4 linked regions of the Drosophila melanogaster genome follow. The protein of the gene in region 3 binds, or shares a complex with, the protein of the main gene of each other region. Each region holds a gene or a part of one and is shown on either strand. Other genes may lie near its edges.

Region 1 (5,596 bases), about 11 Mb from region 3:
GACGTTGTCGCCGCTGCGAGAGGCAGCCGTCACCTTGGTGCCCAGCTTGAACTTAAGACCCTGCTTGGTGAGCACCTTTTGGAACGTCTTGGAGACTTCGTTATCGATGCCCACGCCGCCGATCGTATCCATGAACTCAATGGCAGTGACCTCAGCGCCCAGACGCGACCATACCGAACCCAGCTCCAGGCCAATGACACCGGCGCCGATGACAACCAGATGCTTGGGCACCTTGGCCAGCTTCAGGGCGCCAGTGCTGCTCACAATAACTTCCTCGTCGATCTGTGAAGGTTTTTGAATGGCATGCATTAGTAATCAAGCGCGCTGTAGAGGTTTTGCACTTACTTCAATGCCAGGGAAGGGGGTAACCTCCGAGCCGGTGGCGATGAGGATGTTCTTGGTCTTGACAGTCTCCGTGGAGCCGTCGGATTTCTTAACCTCCACCTCGTTGGGATTGACGATGGTGCCGAAGCCCGTCAGCTGTGTGACCTTGTTCTTCTTGAAAAGCATGGCAATGCCACCGGTCAAAGCCTTCACGGCGTTGGACTTTTGACCCATAAGCTTCTCCAGATCCAGGCTAACGCTGCCGCAGCTAATACCACGTTTCTCCAGATCACCGGAGTGGGCCATGTGGTAGTAGTGGGAGTTGTTCAGCAGCGCCTTTGAGGGAATGCAGCCAACATTCAGGCAGGTGCCGCCCAGAGTTGCCTCCTTCTCCACGCTGACCGTCTTCATGCCCATCTGGGCGGCCTTGATGGCGGCGACATAGCCACCGGGTCCGGAGCCAATCACCACGATGTCCGCCTCGTGGGTGCTGGAGTAGCAGCGGGCGTTGAGGGCACCCAGAATGGCGGCATTGGTGCGCAGAGGAGTCTGTAAAGACGGCAGATTACTACATGTTGTGGCACCTTATCATTTATCACGCCAGTCGCACGCATTTCGCACTAATCTTCGGCCGACTATCAGCTGATAATTGGCCTAATTAGCGACCTTGAAAACGGGGCCAAACAAATCCCCAAACGCCAGTGAATCACCCACCGGGATCATATGAGCACTGCAGGTGATCCAAGTGCATTTTCCAGCCTTTTCCTGCCCATTTCTCGACCCCCTCGGTGAGGTTAGATTGCATAACTTGAGGGGCGATGGCGTTTGGGGAATCGGTTATGTCGCCCGATCCTTACCTTGGCTACTGCCGAAACAACATGACGGAGCGTGAATTGCATGGCTGGTGCGGGCGAGTTATGAGGATAATCGTTATTTAACTACAAACACAACACTAGTTTGATGTGTGTTTTTCCGACTGTTTTTCGTGTTGTGGGGCTCGGAGCGGTCGCAGGGCTGGCGATGTGCATTCGATAGTGGTCATATGATGGCCGCGATGCTATCGATTGTTTTGGTGATTTTCCACTCTGTTGGAATTTGAAATTCTAAAACATTTTCGTATGAAAAAGATGTGTATAAAAATATTAGCTTGATGATCGTTCAAAATACGATATGTCCGTCACTCAATTGCTAGTTTATACAATATTCACTTTATGGGTCATTTGTTGTAGCAAAAGCTACCTAAAAACAAGCCAACTATACGTGTAAGCCGGCTTTTATAGTTTTGGCACCCATTAATTAATGTTTTTGTACGTATAAAATAAACTGTAATAAATAAACTGTAAAATAACTGTTTTAAAAATATATAACTCAACGTACATACGATACATATATAATAAGAGTTCCAAAGTAATATTAACTTTATTATATCTATAGGTAATTAAAAATGTATTATACGATGAATATTCGATAGTTTGCCCTACAGTACAACCCTGTGTGGTATTCCCCATCTGGGATATTTCCCACAACACTTTTGGTATTTTCACGTCGCGTTCATCTCGCGTTTTCGTTGAAGCCTCAGTATTTCGCTAGCTGTCGCAATGCGGTCACACTGGTTCGCGGACACAACAAGATGGCGAGACTTGCCCCCGAAATCTGTTAGAAAACGCCACAAGAGCAAATAATTAGTTCAGTTTTCGACCAGAAAAGAGTCAGCCGAAGTGCCGGGCAGACGCGGCGCATTTTGCAGAGTGTGAGCTTGGCCAGCGTTGCCCGAGAGCCGCGACAGGCGACACCTTCTGCTGGCCTTGCCTTGTTGCTGTGCCCCTGTGTGCGTGAGCGTGTGCGGTGCGGTGCGATTGTGTGCGTGGGTTGCCAAGAGTGAAGAGAATCGCTGAGTTTCCAAGATGATGAGCAACTACGGCAACATGATGGACTCACCGAAGTCATCGCCCCACGGCGGCGGCCGATCACCCGTGGTGGCCCGTCAAGACTCATCCGGCACCCTGAAAACGACCATTTCGCTGGGCAAGACGCCAACGATCATTCACACGGGGCCATTTTACTCCATGAAGGAACCACCCGCCAAGGCAGAACTTACCGGCGACAAGGATCTCATGACCGAGTACGGACTGCACCACACACTCACCAAGTTCAAGGAGAAGAAGTTCAAGGAGTCGCTGGCCTCGTTTCTGCAGAACATCCCCGGCATTAACGACCTCATCACGCATCCCGTGGAGAATAGCACGCTGCGGAGCGTGATCGAAAAGCCGCCCATTGGTGGAAAGGAGCTTCTTCCGCTGACTCCCGTGCAGCTGGCCGGATTCCGCTTGCATCCCGGACCGGTTGGTTTTTCCAATATGCTTTTAATTCGCTTGCTCAGTTTGAAAAATGACGAATCTTTAGATACGGCACATTGAACATCTTAGAATACATTTAGACGCTATTCAATGCTTTGCGTCTCTATACATTTGCATGCATTAATTTCGCTTTTTAAAATTTGCATATGAAATTTGGATTTAAGTGTCCTTGCACAGACTGATCTACTATAAAGTGTTATTTGGTCGCACCTTTTCTGTCACTTATTTCTATAATCACCGTAGTATTTTAGAGTTGTAATTCATTTTCCTTATGTTCAACAACAAATTTGAAACACAAATATTTTAGTCATTAATCACAAAAATTACTTAAATTAACAAGAGTGTAAATGTTGGTTTTCCCTTTAAACCTCTTTTGAACAGTGTATATTAAGTCAGTAGTTCGCAACGCAGTGATCTATATGAACAGCTGAGTCGATAAGGCCATGTCCGCCTGCCCGTTTTCTTTCAGTTTTAAATTTTTGTTGCAAGTAGTGCATAAATCAGAACGCGCCAGTTTAGGCCACTAATTCATATTGCTGCCATATGGTTTAATATTATGATATTCAAAAAAAAAAAAAAAACTAACCTTCCTTGTTGACGGATTGTCCTTCCTTTCTTGTTATTGAAATATTGGCATTTAATATTATTGAGAGTTTTCTTTCACCCTATATGCAATCTAATAATAATAATAATTCATCTTAAAAGGTTTCGTGAAATATTTTTTACATGTCATATATTTCAAACAATGGATAAATCGTTACTAGAACAAATTGCATAAAATATATTATTTTTTTCCTCTGCACTTTCACATTGCTAATTTATCCGATTCTGGTGCTCCTTTCAGCTGCCGGAACAGTATCGTACCACATATGTCACACCTGCGCGTAAACACAAAAACAAACACAAAAAGCAAAAACACAAAGACGGGGTGACCACGGGACAGGAATCCACGCTGCTCGGTAAGCAATCTGCTGAATTATCGAGCAACTCGATCACACATAATCCAATGATAACCATCTTGCAGACTCGGCCGGCCTGGAGACTTACGAGAAAAAGCACAAGAAGCAGAAACGCCATGAGGACGACAAGGAGCGCAAGAAGCGCAAAAAGGAGAAAAAGCGTAAAAAGAAAAACCAGAGCCCCGAACCGGGCGTGGGCTTGCTGCCCGGAGGAGCGAGCTTGGGCGGAGCAGCGGGTGTAATGGGAGCCACTAGTCTGGGATCGCTGGGAGGAGGACCTGGAGGACCCGGGCTGTCCAGCCTTAGTGCCAGTATGGGACCTGGCGTTGTGGGGAACATGAATAGCTTCTCCTCATCGATGCAGATGCAGCAGCAACAGCAGATGCCCATGCAGCAACAGCAGATGTCAAGTGGCGGTCTGCTGGGATCTGTGCTGGGCACTAGTGGCGGTCCAGGTGGCGGCGGCGGAGGAGGAGGTGGTGGCGGGGGCGGCGTCGGTGGGAGTCTGCTTATGTCGCAGTTTTAGGCAGGATCCTTTAGCAAAATAGACTTGGCTCATTACCTCTCATCAGCAGACGCACCCCAAATGGCAACATAAAAAAAACGCAGAGGGCCTCGGTCCTCTACATGCAATTTTCTCGATATCGTTTCGTGTCCTAGTTATTAATTTATGATTATTGTAAATGTAAAATAGTTTATTTCTGTAATTAGCCAACAATTTTTCGTTCGTTTTCGCGCTAGCTTAATGAGATTTATTTAAACGCAAGTTATGGTACAAAACGCAAGAACGTTTTCGCTCTCGATTCCAGCTCTTCCCTCCACACAAACACACCCCTCGCCACGCCGCCACAAAAACGCTGCTTTGCAACCTCTTTAATTTGCTTACCAACCTTGTAACGTGTGTAGGGTCAGTATTTCAATTAAATTTCTGCAATGGTTTGTTCTTCCAGCAAGTTTATAAACACAAAAGAAAGCTGAGATTCAACAAAATAAAAATGCCTGTACTATAAGTAATTAATTTTAGTGATTAGGCACATAAAACAATAAACAAGCATAAAAATGATCAAAGTGTGTGTTTACAATAGTTTGGGGAGCTTAGTTCATTTTTCGAATATAAGCATTTGTTGCACAGAAGTTCTGCTTCCAAGGAGCCCTTAAATTCAAATTTGGCGCCAAACACTTGTTAGCACTCTGTTGACTTTAACATGGCGCATTAACAGCTACGCTGAAATCTGACAGATAGTAACATAGCCTTAACAGGCGCCAACAGCTGCTTTAATTCTCAGGGAGTTTCTCGCAATCGAGAGTCAATTAATAAATTAAAAGTGATGTGTATAAGATAGTCGTCGCTGCAAAGCCATAGATGAGTTGTAACTTCGCCAGATTTTCGCGACAGGCAGCTATCAACATGTACAAGCAGTCGTGCACCAATCTCCTGGAATTATCCTCCGCCAAGGTGACCGAGTGGCTAGCAGGCTTCGACAGTGTAATAACCGACTGCGATGGTAAGTCGGTGGTGGGGATGAGATACTACTAACTCGCACCCACCCAGGATTCCCCCCAGGAAGTTGCGTTACATAAAGATATGTGTATACCACATTCTGCCCAAATACGTCAGCAGCCAATAGTTTCTGTATTGTGGCTGCGTCGTTTATTTCAATGTCAAAGAGTGAAGTGCGTGATATGGCGGGAAGTCGACTTTCGGATGCCCTCATATCTTGTTAATCATCGTTATATTTAGTAAAGAGTAAAGCAGTAAAGAGCCGTTTGATAAATTCCCTAATGCTCATAGTGATGAGCCCTAAGTTTATTAATATTAGACAATCTTATCAATTCAAGGAAATCGTTATTATATACGCAATATCAAAAGTTGTGTTCAACCCCATTATTTATTAATTTTATGCAATAATGCCTTCTTTAATCATAACAGCTTTTATTTCTTTTCGTTTATGTATC
Region 2 (3,619 bases), on a different chromosome or scaffold from region 3:
GACAGAGAACGAAATGGATCCCCAGGCCATTGCGGCACTTAAGCGGGCTTACGACTTGCAACCGGACAACCAACAGGTCCTGATGGCCCTGGCCGCGTGCTACACCAACGAGGGCCTGCAGAACAACGCCGTGCGCATGCTGTGCAACTGGCTGACAGTGCATCCCAAGTATCAGCACCTGGTCGCAGCCCATCCGGAGCTGCAGGCCGAGGGCACTTCGTTGGCTTCGTCGCTGATTGGTCCGAGTAAGCTGCGCGATCTGCAGCAGATCTACTTGGAAGCCGTTCGACAGCACCCTTCGGAGGTGGATGCCGAAGTCCAGGATGCCCTCGGCGTGCTCTACAATCTATCTGGGGAGTTCGACAAGGCGGTGGACTGCTACCAGTCCGCTCTGCAGGTGGATCCCCAAAATGCGAAGACATGGAACCGATTGGGGGCCAGTTTGGCCAACGGCTCGCGCTCCGTGGAGGCGGTGGAGGCTTATCAGCAGGCGCTGCAGCTCCAACCGGGCTTCATCCGTGTGCGTTACAACGTGGGCGTATGTTGCATGAACCTTAAGGCCTACAAGGAAGCTGTGGAGCACTTACTCACAGCGCTTACCATGCAGGCTCACACTAACGCCGCCCGAGAGCTGCCCAATGCGGCGATGGCGGCTACCTTTAGAGGACAGAACCAGATGTCCGAGTCTATTTGGAGTACGCTGAAGATGGTCATTTCGCTGATGGGCCGCAGCGATCTCCAGAGTTATGTGAGCGATCGCAATCTGGCGGCTCTTAATGAGGCCTTTAAGGATTAACCGCCCCGCAGCTTCTTTATCACTGCTTTGGGAAAGTCCGTTGTTGTCGTGTCATGTGGGTGTGTAAGGTTGAATTTGAGATATTTTTTACTCTGGCAGTGTAATCATTCCCTCTCGGTTCTTTTCTGTAAATTTGTATATTTTCTTACATTTAAGAAATTAAATAACTGTTGGATAAATGCGATGTGCACTTTTATTGTAAACTACGGCATGCCGCCCAGTCGCTTGTAGTCGATCTTCTCGAGCTGCACGAGTGGCTTTAGTTGCTCGGCAAACACGCGCATTTCCTCGCCGACATTCTCCTGCCCCGTTGGCGCCACCACAGAGAGTTCCACTATGTAGCTTTGTGAGATTGGCTCGTTGGCCATGTCCTGCTGCTTGCCGGGCACAATCTTAATGAGCTTGGAGACGGTAATCTTCATGCGCCCCTTGCGGAACATATAGCCTGAAATAAGTCCATTTGTCACTATCCATTTTGGCAACCCAAGCGTAATATATTTCATGATTCCAACCCTTTGCTATGTACTCGAACTCCAGGCGGAAGCCCATTTCCGTGAGGAATTCCAAAATGCCATTGGTGCAGGCGCAGTCCATGCAGCTGCGTACCAATGTAGGCCGGCGCAGATCCACCTCGGGGTTTCCTAGGTAGCGCATCTGAAAGGGTGCATCGCGACCAAGGGCTCGGCGCACGCGAAGAAGCAGCGGCTGGTTGGCATTGGGCTGGCGAAGGCTCATACACACTTCCAGATCGTGAAACGGCTCCGGCGAGGTGTCCACATTGTCGCAGAGTCCCTTTAGTCTGATAGTGGGTAGGCGGTTAGACTGTTAGTCGGGTGCAAACGATTCAAATCTGACACTGGGTCTCCCACCTGTGCATCAAGTGTTCCACGGCGGAATCCAGGATAGATCCCTGCAGCAAGTACTCCAGGTTGGGCAAGAAGCGGTTGTTCATCGCATGGGAGAGCGACTCACGGGCCGACGACACAATCGCCATTGGCTAATTTTGTAAGTTTGGGTGTACTATGGTATTAAATTAACTGAGCAGTAGTTTGGTTTTGTTTTTAGTTTCATTTCCTTGGAAGAATTCGTTTTACTAGTGATGCCGTTTTAGACATTTTCGAACAGCACTAGCTAGATGCCGGAAAATCAAATAGTCTATCGATAACGATGAACGTAAATCGACGCGCACAGAATAATAGCAAATACGAATTTTGCTTAAAGCATATTCATAGAGATTGATTTACCGTAAATGCCCCAACGACGCCCCCAAAATGGCGGATCATAAGTATAGGCTCTTCAATGCGGTCGACCCGAGCAAAGTAAAAGTTCCCTTCAATCAAAAGTTCGCCAATTTGACGCTATCCTCCCACAAAAAACGACTCCAGGTGTCCCATGCGCCGAAGGATCATCCAGAAAAGAGGAACGACCAGAAAACAAGGAAACTGCCAGCAGCTCCCATGCGCGCCAATGTGGGAGCACCCGCTCCGTCCTGCGGGGCAAATACGGAGGACACAGAACTCGACAATTCCGACTACATGGAAGCCTTGCAGCTGAGCGCCGACGGCTGCAGCCAGGATGTGGCAAATGTGGGCGATGTAGAGCTCCTGTCCGCTGGCATCAGCAATTTGAAAGTGCAGCCCATAAATGAGGAGCACTCGGCCAAGCCGGAGATCTCCATTTGCATTTCCTCCACTACGGAAGAGAACGTATCCGGCGACGACGACGCCGCCTCCTGTATCACCATATCCGATTCTAGCGAGGATGAGCAAGAACCCTTGCCTCCCGATAGCATGGCTGTGAGTGAACGGGAAATTGTGGCTAATCCCGGCCAGGAAGACATACCACAGCCCATGCTCACAACCGAAAAAGTGCAGCGCATCGAGGCTTTTCTGCGCGATGTGTCCATAGAGCGACGCGAGATGGAGTGGAATGGCCCATTGACACCGCCCCCCCTCTCTTCCAGCCAGCGGCAATCCCGTCTAGCCGATGCGGACACCGAATCCATGTCGCCCACCGACGAGGACTGGCAGCCACCCACTACCAGGCCGATTTACAACAGCACACAACTGGCGAACAACGATACGCAGGTGAATACCATCTGCTCAGCAGATGCCACTCGATTGGATAGCAGCAAGCGGTTGGCAGACGACGAAACGGAGGCGAATACTCTCGGATCGGAGGAGCTTGAGCCCACATACAGCAGCAAGCGTTTAGCAGACAATGACACCGAGCCCAACACCCTGTGTTCTGATAGTTCTGAGACCCATAACTCGACGATTCACAACAATGAGCCCGTTCCTGATGAATCCATTGAAATACCGGAAACCAGCAGCGAGGGCGAGCTCACGCCGCAAAAGGCCAGCTCTGGTTCCTCCACATCGGGAGGGGACGAACACGGTTCTATCCAGGTCAGCAGTATTAATATTTCAGCGAAGATCAACATTAAAATCAGCATTCCCACTATGGAGTCAAGTTCGGCGGAAGACGACGATGAGCATTACTCTTCGCCCAGGGCCACTAAGTCCCTGCCCAGCTCGGAGGAGGTGCAGCACCAAGAGCACCAGCAGCAGGACCCTCAGAGCCACCAAAAATCCATGCTGTCTGTGGATGATGCATCCGAGGATGAGCAGTTTCTCACCCACGCAGAAAAGCTGCTCAATCAATTGTACGGCAAGTCTTGGCAGACACCAGATGTGATCCGCACTCTAAAGCGCTCCAGTGGTAGTGGCGGTAAACAGGCTCCTCTGAGGCCCAGGAATATTCAAGCAACAGCGGTAACCACCGCTAAAAAAAAGAAGCCCAAGCCAGATGAAAGTGTTCTCG
Region 3 (4,022 bases):
CTTTATGATCCTTTGTCGCGTGTTTAATATTAGCAGGGTATCGCATTATTTTCAATTAAAAAACATTTTCTCTGGAGTTGCTTAAAATTTTTAATGATCCAGATGTTGCTCTCGAGTTTATGTGTAATTTTAATAAATATTAACTATTAAACTTTTACAACGAGCAGAGAACCCAGAGCCATGAAACTTTACGTTACGCTTGTGAAATTCAAACAAACCAGTTATTTTATTGAATATGGCTGCTGTCTGCAGTCGAATAAAACTTTCATCGCTCTAATTAAAAGTTCTAAGCTAGTCGATAAAGTGAAGCCAAAACCTAATTGCCATGAAGTCGAGCTCATCGTGTGTTTGTTTTGCTTTACTTACCCATTGCAGGCACCTCGAGGAATTGCTAGACGGGTCCATTAGCAGTCAATCAGCCGCAGAGAAGAGCCAGCAAAAGATACAGATACAGGCGGAGCAAAAGATACAGGATGCACGAGAGACAAGTGAAGAAGTGAGTAGCGCGGATGGGCCACTTAACGGCTAATACAGCGGCGATAACATTTGCGATCCAATTACAGGTTGAAGGGCAGCCATTATGTGGCCACGCACGGTCGCCTCACTCCGGATCCGCCCTACGTCCACTCGAACCGCGGCTATTCCACCGACGGCGATGAGACCCACTCCCACCGGGCGCCCTCGGAGCGCACCTATTCGGAGTACACGTTGACCCACGAGCGCATCTCGCCGCAGTACAATGGTTCGCGCAAGAAGCGCTCCTCATCCTCGAATGGAAACCATCAGCATCAGCACCTGCAGAGCAGCTACAGCCACAGTCAGATGGGCCTCTCCAGTTCGCCGGACAACGGAGGACCTCGCTCCCTCAGCGGACCGCCGCCCACGCGCCAGCCACCGCGTGCTCCGTCCGCCCTGAGCTATGACCAGGCTGGTGACGCCGGCAGCGACATCTATGTGACCAGTGCCGCCTACAAGGCGCCCTCCGAGATCAGGTGCGTTGTTACAACTATATAGCATATAACCCATATCTAAACTATCTATCATCCATTACAGTCGCTACAGTCAGCGTCCAGTGTCGCGAGGAGCTCCACGGAGTGTTTACTCCGTGGCCAGTACGGCCAAAACCGGACGCAGTGCGCGCTCGACGACTCGGCGAGGCGCCAAAGTGGAAACCATGTCCGCGCCGAATCCATTTTGCCCCAATGTCAAGGGCGTGTGCTGTCTGATGCTGTTGCTCAACTTGGGCCTGATCCTGGTGACGCTAGGATTCGTCATTGTGGTGCAGTTCTATGAGCCACTGTACGTGTGGATACTGGGAATTGTGTTCCTGGTCTTCGGCTTCCTCACGCTAATCGGCTGCATGATCTACTGTGTGTACGTGTTCCGGGATGCGAAGACGCCATCGCAGGTGCGCAACGAGGATCTCTACTGGACGCGGCACTGGCAGAAGAATATCGGATACACGCCGCAGGAGATCAACTACAAGGCGGACAAGTACGATGCCTACTCGGATCGCTATTCGGTTAGCAAGCTGAGTGGCAAATACTCGGATCGCGAGAGCCAGCGATACTGATTGTTATGCATATGTACATATGTATGTATGTACATACATATGCGGTTTGATGAAAGGGGATCCTTTGGGCGGAGAAGAAATATGAATAGCCACATATAAACCACTTATATCTTAACTAATTGTAAGACTATCTACTAGTTCTAAACGGTTATTAACAAGGCCCCTCCAACGTACCTGCTGCAAGTTGCTTGCTGGTTTGTATGTTTTAAGAGTGAAACTGACGGGAGACGCGAACGCGAGGATGCAACAGAGTATTGTAATCTGCCATATTTGAGAAGGTTTGTTAGGTTTGATTTGGCTAATCAACAGAAGAGTTTTATGCTAAAATTGTAACTGCAATTGTAACACACGAGAAATAAACAAGCAAATAATACCTACTAGAGATAACGCTGCGAATTTGTTTTATTTTTGAACAGTCTCTTCTACTCTTTGCTTTTGAGTACTTGATTCCCTTTTTTTTGAGTGTATGAAATAACCCATGTGGCAACTCCTATTAGTCTGGCAACCTCTCTGTTACGGTATTTTTACAACGTGGTATTAACAGCGCTCCGGAATACTATACGGTATATTTCAGCAATCGAAGAACGGCCACATTGCGGTGTGGAAAATAAACAAATTGCAATTATTGCTTAGCACAAACGATTTGCCGTGATAATGTCGTTTCATTTGAGCACAAAAGAGCGCCTTCTGCTCCTGATCGACGACATTGAGATGATTGCCAAGGAGTTGATCGAGCAGGCGCACCAGAAGATCTCCAGCACCGAATTGGTGGACCTGTTGGATTTGCTGGTGGCCAAAGATGAGGAATTTCGCAAAATGCTGGAACTGGCGGAGGAGCAGGCGAAAGTGGAGGAGGCGATGGACCAACTGCGCGCTAAGGTCGAGGTGCACGTAAGTAGAAGTTTTGCATTCCCCAAAAATAAGGTATAATCTGGATTTTCCCGCTTAGGACCGTGAGATCCAGAAGCTGCAAAAGTCGCTAAAGGATGCGGAGCTCATACTGTCCACGGCCATCTTCCAAGCGCGACAGAAACTGGCCAGCATCAATCAGGCCAACAAACGACCGGTTTCATCCGAGGAGCTCATCAAATACGCACATCGGATTAGCTCCGCCAATGCGGTCAGTGCTCCGCTCACCTGGTGCATAGGTGACCTGCGGCGTCCCTATCCCACGGACATTGAGATGCGCAACGGGCTGCTGGGTAAATCCGAGCAGAACATCAACGGCGGAACAGTGACCCACCAGAACAGCGGCATGCCCTCGGAGCAGCAGCGAACGCTGTCCGGTAGCGCAGGAAGTGGGAGTGGCAGTGGCGCCGGCGGCGAGGTGCCCAATGCCTTCCAGAACCAGTTTAACTGGAATCTCGGAGAGCTGCACATGACCATGGGCGCCTCTGGGAACACAGTGGCCCTGGAGACGCGCGCCCAGGACGATGTGGAGGTCATGTCCACGGATAGCTCAAGCTCCAGTTCCAGCGATTCGCAGTAGAATTGGATAAAAAACTATAACTAAATCTCGTTTAAGCTAGTAGTATTAGGTATTTAATAAAAGCGCGCTGTAAGGAAGTCTAGTTATGTATATATTTGAGTAGCTGGGATACATATCTAATTTTATGACCTTCTTTAATGATATTAATTTACAATTTAAATTGGCATTTAAAAAAATGCAAAGTTATGTATCAGTGGAAACAGCTTATAATAGCTTCGTGTCAAGAGCTTGGTACTTTTGCGCTAGTGCGATACGGTCCTCCTCAACCATATAAACAATCGATTGGCAGGGTCGCGTGCAATCGATACTTTGACAGCTCGCAATTATTTTAGCTTTGGTTTTTCAAATAAAATGGAATGCAACGCGTATGCAGCGTGTTTCAAGTAGCTAAAATGTGGCCAAGGTGTAGTCCAGTGTCGCCGCCAATCGCAGATCAGCCCCGTGTGCGTCTTTAACGAGAGATAAGCCCCGAAAACGATAGTAGAAAACCGACCCCCCGTTCGCAGTGTGTGTGTACAGAGGGCGAAGCGAAGCGAAGGCTCGACTCAAACCAATTGCAATATCAAATATAAAGAAAAAGTGGAAGTGGAAGGTGGAGTGGAGTGGAGGCCAGGGAGCGAGAGACACCGCCATCGCCACTTGCATCGCCGCATCCGCAATCGGGTTACATACGACACTCACATACCACACAGCCAGCCAGCACACAGGCCAAACTTTTACTTTTTCCCATTCGATATTGTTGGAAAAAATTTGGCCAAAAGAAAACAATTCGAATACAAATACAAACAGAAGAGTGTACGAGTGGGGGGCGACATGATAGTTTGTTTGAGTTCTACACACTGCATGTTTGAATTATTGTAAAGCCCTGAAGTACAGTGAACGTACATCTCATAGAGCGCCCCTAGAAAGTCGCACATACCGCCCAGACATGATGATTCAAGAGCCCGTGCAGGTAAATCA
Region 4 (4,029 bases), on a different chromosome or scaffold from region 3:
CTTCAGGCACGCCCAAAAGAAGACGTTTGCGCTGCAGCAGTGCTGCCCAGCTGAGACGAGTCTCACAAAGCGGACACTCTCCTCCAACTGGGATGTAATGACCTGGCTCGTCGCCCAGAAGGTAATTGGCCAGGCACACCATATGGCATGTCAGCCGACACATTTGATTTGTGCATCCCAGGCGGGATTTCTCCGGTTGCTCCATTTCCTGCATACAAAGGTGGCACTCGGAAGCCCACGCCACAGGTGGAGGAGGTACTGCATCATCAGGTCTCCTACGTTGTGAGGCACTAATGGAAACCTTGCCACTCACAATTTCCATGTGTTTAGGCAGTGCCTTGCTGAATGGCCTCTCGTAATCCGTTTCTAGCCAGCGAACGGTGAGCGGTAATCTATTCCAAGGGCCAACCCCCAGCATATTACTAAGGATCCTAAAGTTGTAGTCAAAGAACGTCTCCCTGGGCAGTTTTCGTTTTAATTCAGGGTACATTTTAAGCCTAGTTGAAAGCGACGGCTGTTGCCAAGCCCATTCAAACTGGAGTGCCACTGTATTATTCGGGAATCCGTGCACGATCATTACCATCAGCCACGGCCCTTTGCGACTGGTTTTCCTCGCGCCACCGAAATCACAACCAAGATTGTGTTGGCGTATCCGCCGTTTGGGGTTCACGGTGAAGCCCACGTAGCATTTTCCCCGGTAGCGAGGATCCAAGCTCTGACTGCATAGCAAATAGACGCCGTAGAAGTGGCCCTTCAGCGCGACGGATTCCTCCTGTTGAGAAGCTGTGTCCTGTGGGTCTGTGAATTCACCAACAGATAGATTAATGAAACTTGCTTTGTGTCTGCAACCAAAAACCAACGACAAAGGAGGCGACACCCTAACTAAAGCAATGAGATGAGGTTTTCAAGATTTTCTAAAATAAAAAAAGAAATAAAATTATTTTAGAATTTTAGTTTGGCTAAAATAGCTAAGAAAATAAGGTGTGTTAAGTGGTAGCTGTTTCTCAGCCAAAAAGGAAGATAATAAATGGAATGCAAAATAACTTGTTCCAGGTTCTTATACTATTTTATTGGTAAACTTTTAGTTGCCAGCGCTAGTTTAACTCTAGTTTTATGTTGGCCCCCGATGCCACGCCATTGATTTGCTGCTGCTGCTGGGGATTTCCAGGCTGTGCTTGGACAGGCTGTAGGGCAGAAGACGTCTGTTGACTATCCGCCGTGGAAGCTGACCCGTTCACGTTGGGGGTAGGTGCTGCTGATTCGCCTCCCGTTGCTGCCTCCATGCCGTTCGCCTGCTGTTGTTGCTGCTGAAGCTGCTGTTGTTGCTGCTGGGCGGCCGTAACGTTTTCGATCAGTTTGATGCGCTTGCGAGTGTAGTGCTGCCACTGCAGAATGGCCTGGTCGTCTATGAACTTGCAGCACTGCGAGTTGACGATCTCCCGGCGGAAGTGTTCGTACTGCAGCAGATCGAGGAAGTAGAGGCACATTGGGTACATGAGGTATTTCGCATAGTCCGGCTCCTTCCAGTACTGCAGATACTTCAGGTAGTTGATGAACGACTGGTCCTTGAAAAATCCACGCTGTGCAAGGACTGGCACAAGGCGTTGTAATTGTTTATTTAGATATACGCGCAAGATGGTGAATAAGTGAATATTAGGTAGGTCGAGGTAATATTATTCTTACAGTTTAGATAGTTGGGGTTCGACAGGCACTGCACGAACTCCAGCTCGATCTGCCAGCGTCGCTTCTGCAGCTCCTCCGACTCGATAGCAGCTACGGAAGAAATTGGAGAGCATTAGTCCCTGAGAAATTAGCACCACTTTTGGTAGATCTCTGAGGATTCGGCATGCCAAGCGGTGTCAGTAGGTGTTAGATTACAATGCGAAAATGGGTGTGGATTGGCGTGTACTTACTCTTACCCTTTCCGTACATTTTGGCCATTTTGGACTGGTCTTTGGCTTTGGAAAGGGTCTCGTTGGGTCGGTACTTGCGTCTATTCAGTTTCGGTGTCGGGTTGGGTTCTTGGTTTCTTTCAGTGTGCTATGTGGATGTTCTGAGCTGTGTGTTTTGGTGCACCATCGAATTGAAAACGAAACGTCGCGGCAAACAAAACACACAAGTAAAATTATAAATATATATGGGCTTCGCTAATGAAATAAAATGTATGGCGCGGCAGTGACTGCACAGAGCAAACGCAGGTTGTGGGCCAAAAGAAAACTCGGGAAAACAGTCGACCAGGTTTCTGGGCGCAGGCGGTGGGTTGTCGCTCCCTTTGTGTTGGTGATTTCTTGTGGGAAGGCAGTTAAATTCAGTTTTTAATATTGTCTACAAACCGTAGGAGTTCATTTGGATTGTTGATGGCCGGCGACAACCCTACTTCTGTCCCCGCCAGGGCTGCAAGCTCATCCGAATACGATTTTTTTTTCGTAAAATACTGCTTTTCCGTATATTTTACTTGGTGTGTGCTAACGGTATTCTTGAAAATGTTTCTGTGTTAAAAATTAGAATTAGGGTTGTTTTAACCAACAAAAATCTTTAATACCAGAGTAAGTTTAAACAAATCTGAGCGTATGTATCAAGAAGTACAGCGATCAATGGTATCTACAAATAATCATAATAAAACAATTAAAATTTATATTAAAATATAAAATTCCGACCAGAACATTGACAATTTTTAATTATAATATGTAATTAACAATTGTGTGTAGCCTTCAGTATTTATTTCACTACCCCTAATGTGATGCGCATTTAATTCGGTATTTTCACAAGCCTACGACGAACGCTGTGGAGAACAATGCCTGATTTTTTTGTCAGCCTGAAAAGCAGCGAGGAAAAACTTGAATTTCGTCTGTAAAACATATCTAATCGGAACCAAGCCACTGAAAAAGTCGTAGTTTAGGCTAAATAAACGAGAAATCAACGAGTGAAACTAATTTCTATCTGTGGACAGAACGCCCCCGCACCTATTTTTGTGCTGAGGAACAAGCGAAGCAGCGACGCACAATTCAGAAATGTAAGTATTAACAAAATTATGTAATTTAAGTGCATATGAAACATTATATATGTATATCCAACTATTTCCCCGATTTCGACGGGTTAATCATCATCCACAAAAAATTCATGTTGGCGAAGAATCTATTATTAGATTACAGTGTGCTCTGCTTGAATACAACTCCGAAATGTATATACATATACAGATGCATACAGATGTACACATATGTACATATGTGCATATGTATCTATACAGCACAGCACAGCTGCCGTCCAAATAGAACCAAAGATTGTTTCTTGATAGGCTTCTGAATCATTTCAATGTAATTACGAATGTAAGTCTCTTTTGTGTCCGCTTAGGCAAGCCACAGTCGCAATTTTAATTGATCGATTGGTTTGCCACACTAATTCGTACATCTAAATTCGAGATAAATAGACCATTACCTAAAACAGTATTATAGAGTGAAAAGTGTACAGTGTGTAACTGGTATAAAAAGTGATTCCGACCCTATAATGTAAATGTTTCTTCGATCCGGACCAATGGCCTGGTCGATCTGACCACGATCTACAACGCCCAAATTGGCATATAACACTGTAGTTCCATACAATTGTCATAATAGTTAAAATAGGATTATTAGAAACGTATCAAATAAATGTCTTCGCTGAGTGCTGGGTATCTCATAGTCGCGACTCTTGACTAAAGTGATCTTTACTCCTAAACATCTTCCTATATACATGTGAAATGAATCAATGTTCTTAAGTGGGAAAATTCATAGGTAATATTAAAATGTTTAGTGTTGTAACTATGACCACGGCTTTATTTACGGGGGTGCATAAGGGGTAAAGCCAACGGTTGGCTTTTCCACATAGGAACAGCTGCAGATTTATTGGTATATTTTAAAGAACTGTCTGAGCTTAGCGTTTATGGGTGTCAGCTGGCACTACCTGTCCGGGGGTCGTCCTGGCGTACCTGACTGCCTACAAAACTCATTACATTTTTGCTTTCCATTACAGTTGCAAACCGGTTTTCGGCGCAGA

Evidence for each region.
Region 1: MED4 (region 3) and MED19 share a complex: the UniProt entries of both Drosophila melanogaster proteins name them as parts of the mediator complex.
Region 2: MED4 (region 3) and MED18 share a complex: the UniProt entries of both Drosophila melanogaster proteins name them as parts of the mediator complex.
Region 4: MED4 (region 3) and MED31 share a complex: the UniProt entries of both Drosophila melanogaster proteins name them as parts of the mediator complex.

What each region holds. Positions count from the first base shown.
Region 1 is NT_037436.4:17,842,824-17,848,419, reverse strand, and holds MED19 (mediator complex subunit 19), read left to right. Parts: upstream 1-1,918; 5' UTR 1,919-2,228; coding exon 2,229-2,666; intron 2,667-3,525; coding exon 3,526-3,640; intron 3,641-3,705; coding exon 3,706-4,166; 3' UTR 4,167-4,695; downstream 4,696-5,596. Other genes in the region: CG7430 (uncharacterized protein), read right to left, coding at 1-282, 346-873, 1,182-1,223; CG5567 (uncharacterized protein), read left to right, coding at 5,004-5,145. UniProt on the Drosophila melanogaster protein: Component of the Mediator complex, a coactivator involved in the regulated transcription of nearly all RNA polymerase II-dependent genes.
Region 2 is NC_004354.4:1,864,185-1,867,803, reverse strand, and holds MED18 (mediator complex subunit 18), read right to left. Parts: upstream 1,896-3,619; 5' UTR 1,791-1,895; coding exon 1,666-1,790; intron 1,619-1,665; coding exon of another isoform or gene 1,596-1,618; coding exon 1,309-1,595; intron 1,242-1,308; coding exon 1,000-1,241; 3' UTR 917-999; downstream 1-916. Other genes in the region: Pex5 (peroxin 5), read left to right, coding at 1-796; Gcna (germ cell nuclear acidic peptidase), read left to right, coding at 2,068-3,619. UniProt on the Drosophila melanogaster protein: Component of the Mediator complex, a coactivator involved in the regulated transcription of nearly all RNA polymerase II-dependent genes.
Region 3 is NT_037436.4:7,248,650-7,252,671, reverse strand, and holds MED4 (mediator complex subunit 4), read left to right. Parts: upstream 1-2,144; 5' UTR 2,145-2,227; coding exon 2,228-2,464; intron 2,465-2,522; coding exon 2,523-3,062; 3' UTR 3,063-3,143; downstream 3,144-4,022. Other genes in the region: CG14830 (uncharacterized protein), read left to right, coding at 474-496, 564-992, 1,054-1,573; Cdc27 (cell division cycle 27), read left to right, coding at 3,991-4,014. UniProt on the Drosophila melanogaster protein: Component of the Mediator complex, a coactivator involved in the regulated transcription of nearly all RNA polymerase II-dependent genes.
Region 4 is NT_033777.3:4,640,313-4,644,341, reverse strand, and holds MED31 (mediator complex subunit 31), read right to left. Parts: upstream 2,380-4,029; 5' UTR 2,347-2,379; coding exon of another isoform or gene 2,334-2,346; exon of another isoform or gene 2,059-2,333; 5' UTR 1,942-2,058; coding exon 1,914-1,941; intron 1,774-1,913; coding exon 1,684-1,773; intron 1,592-1,683; coding exon 1,095-1,591; 3' UTR 1,050-1,094; downstream 1-1,049. Other genes in the region: nuclease slx1, read right to left, coding at 1-798, 2,334-2,346. UniProt on the Drosophila melanogaster protein: Component of the Mediator complex, a coactivator involved in the regulated transcription of nearly all RNA polymerase II-dependent genes.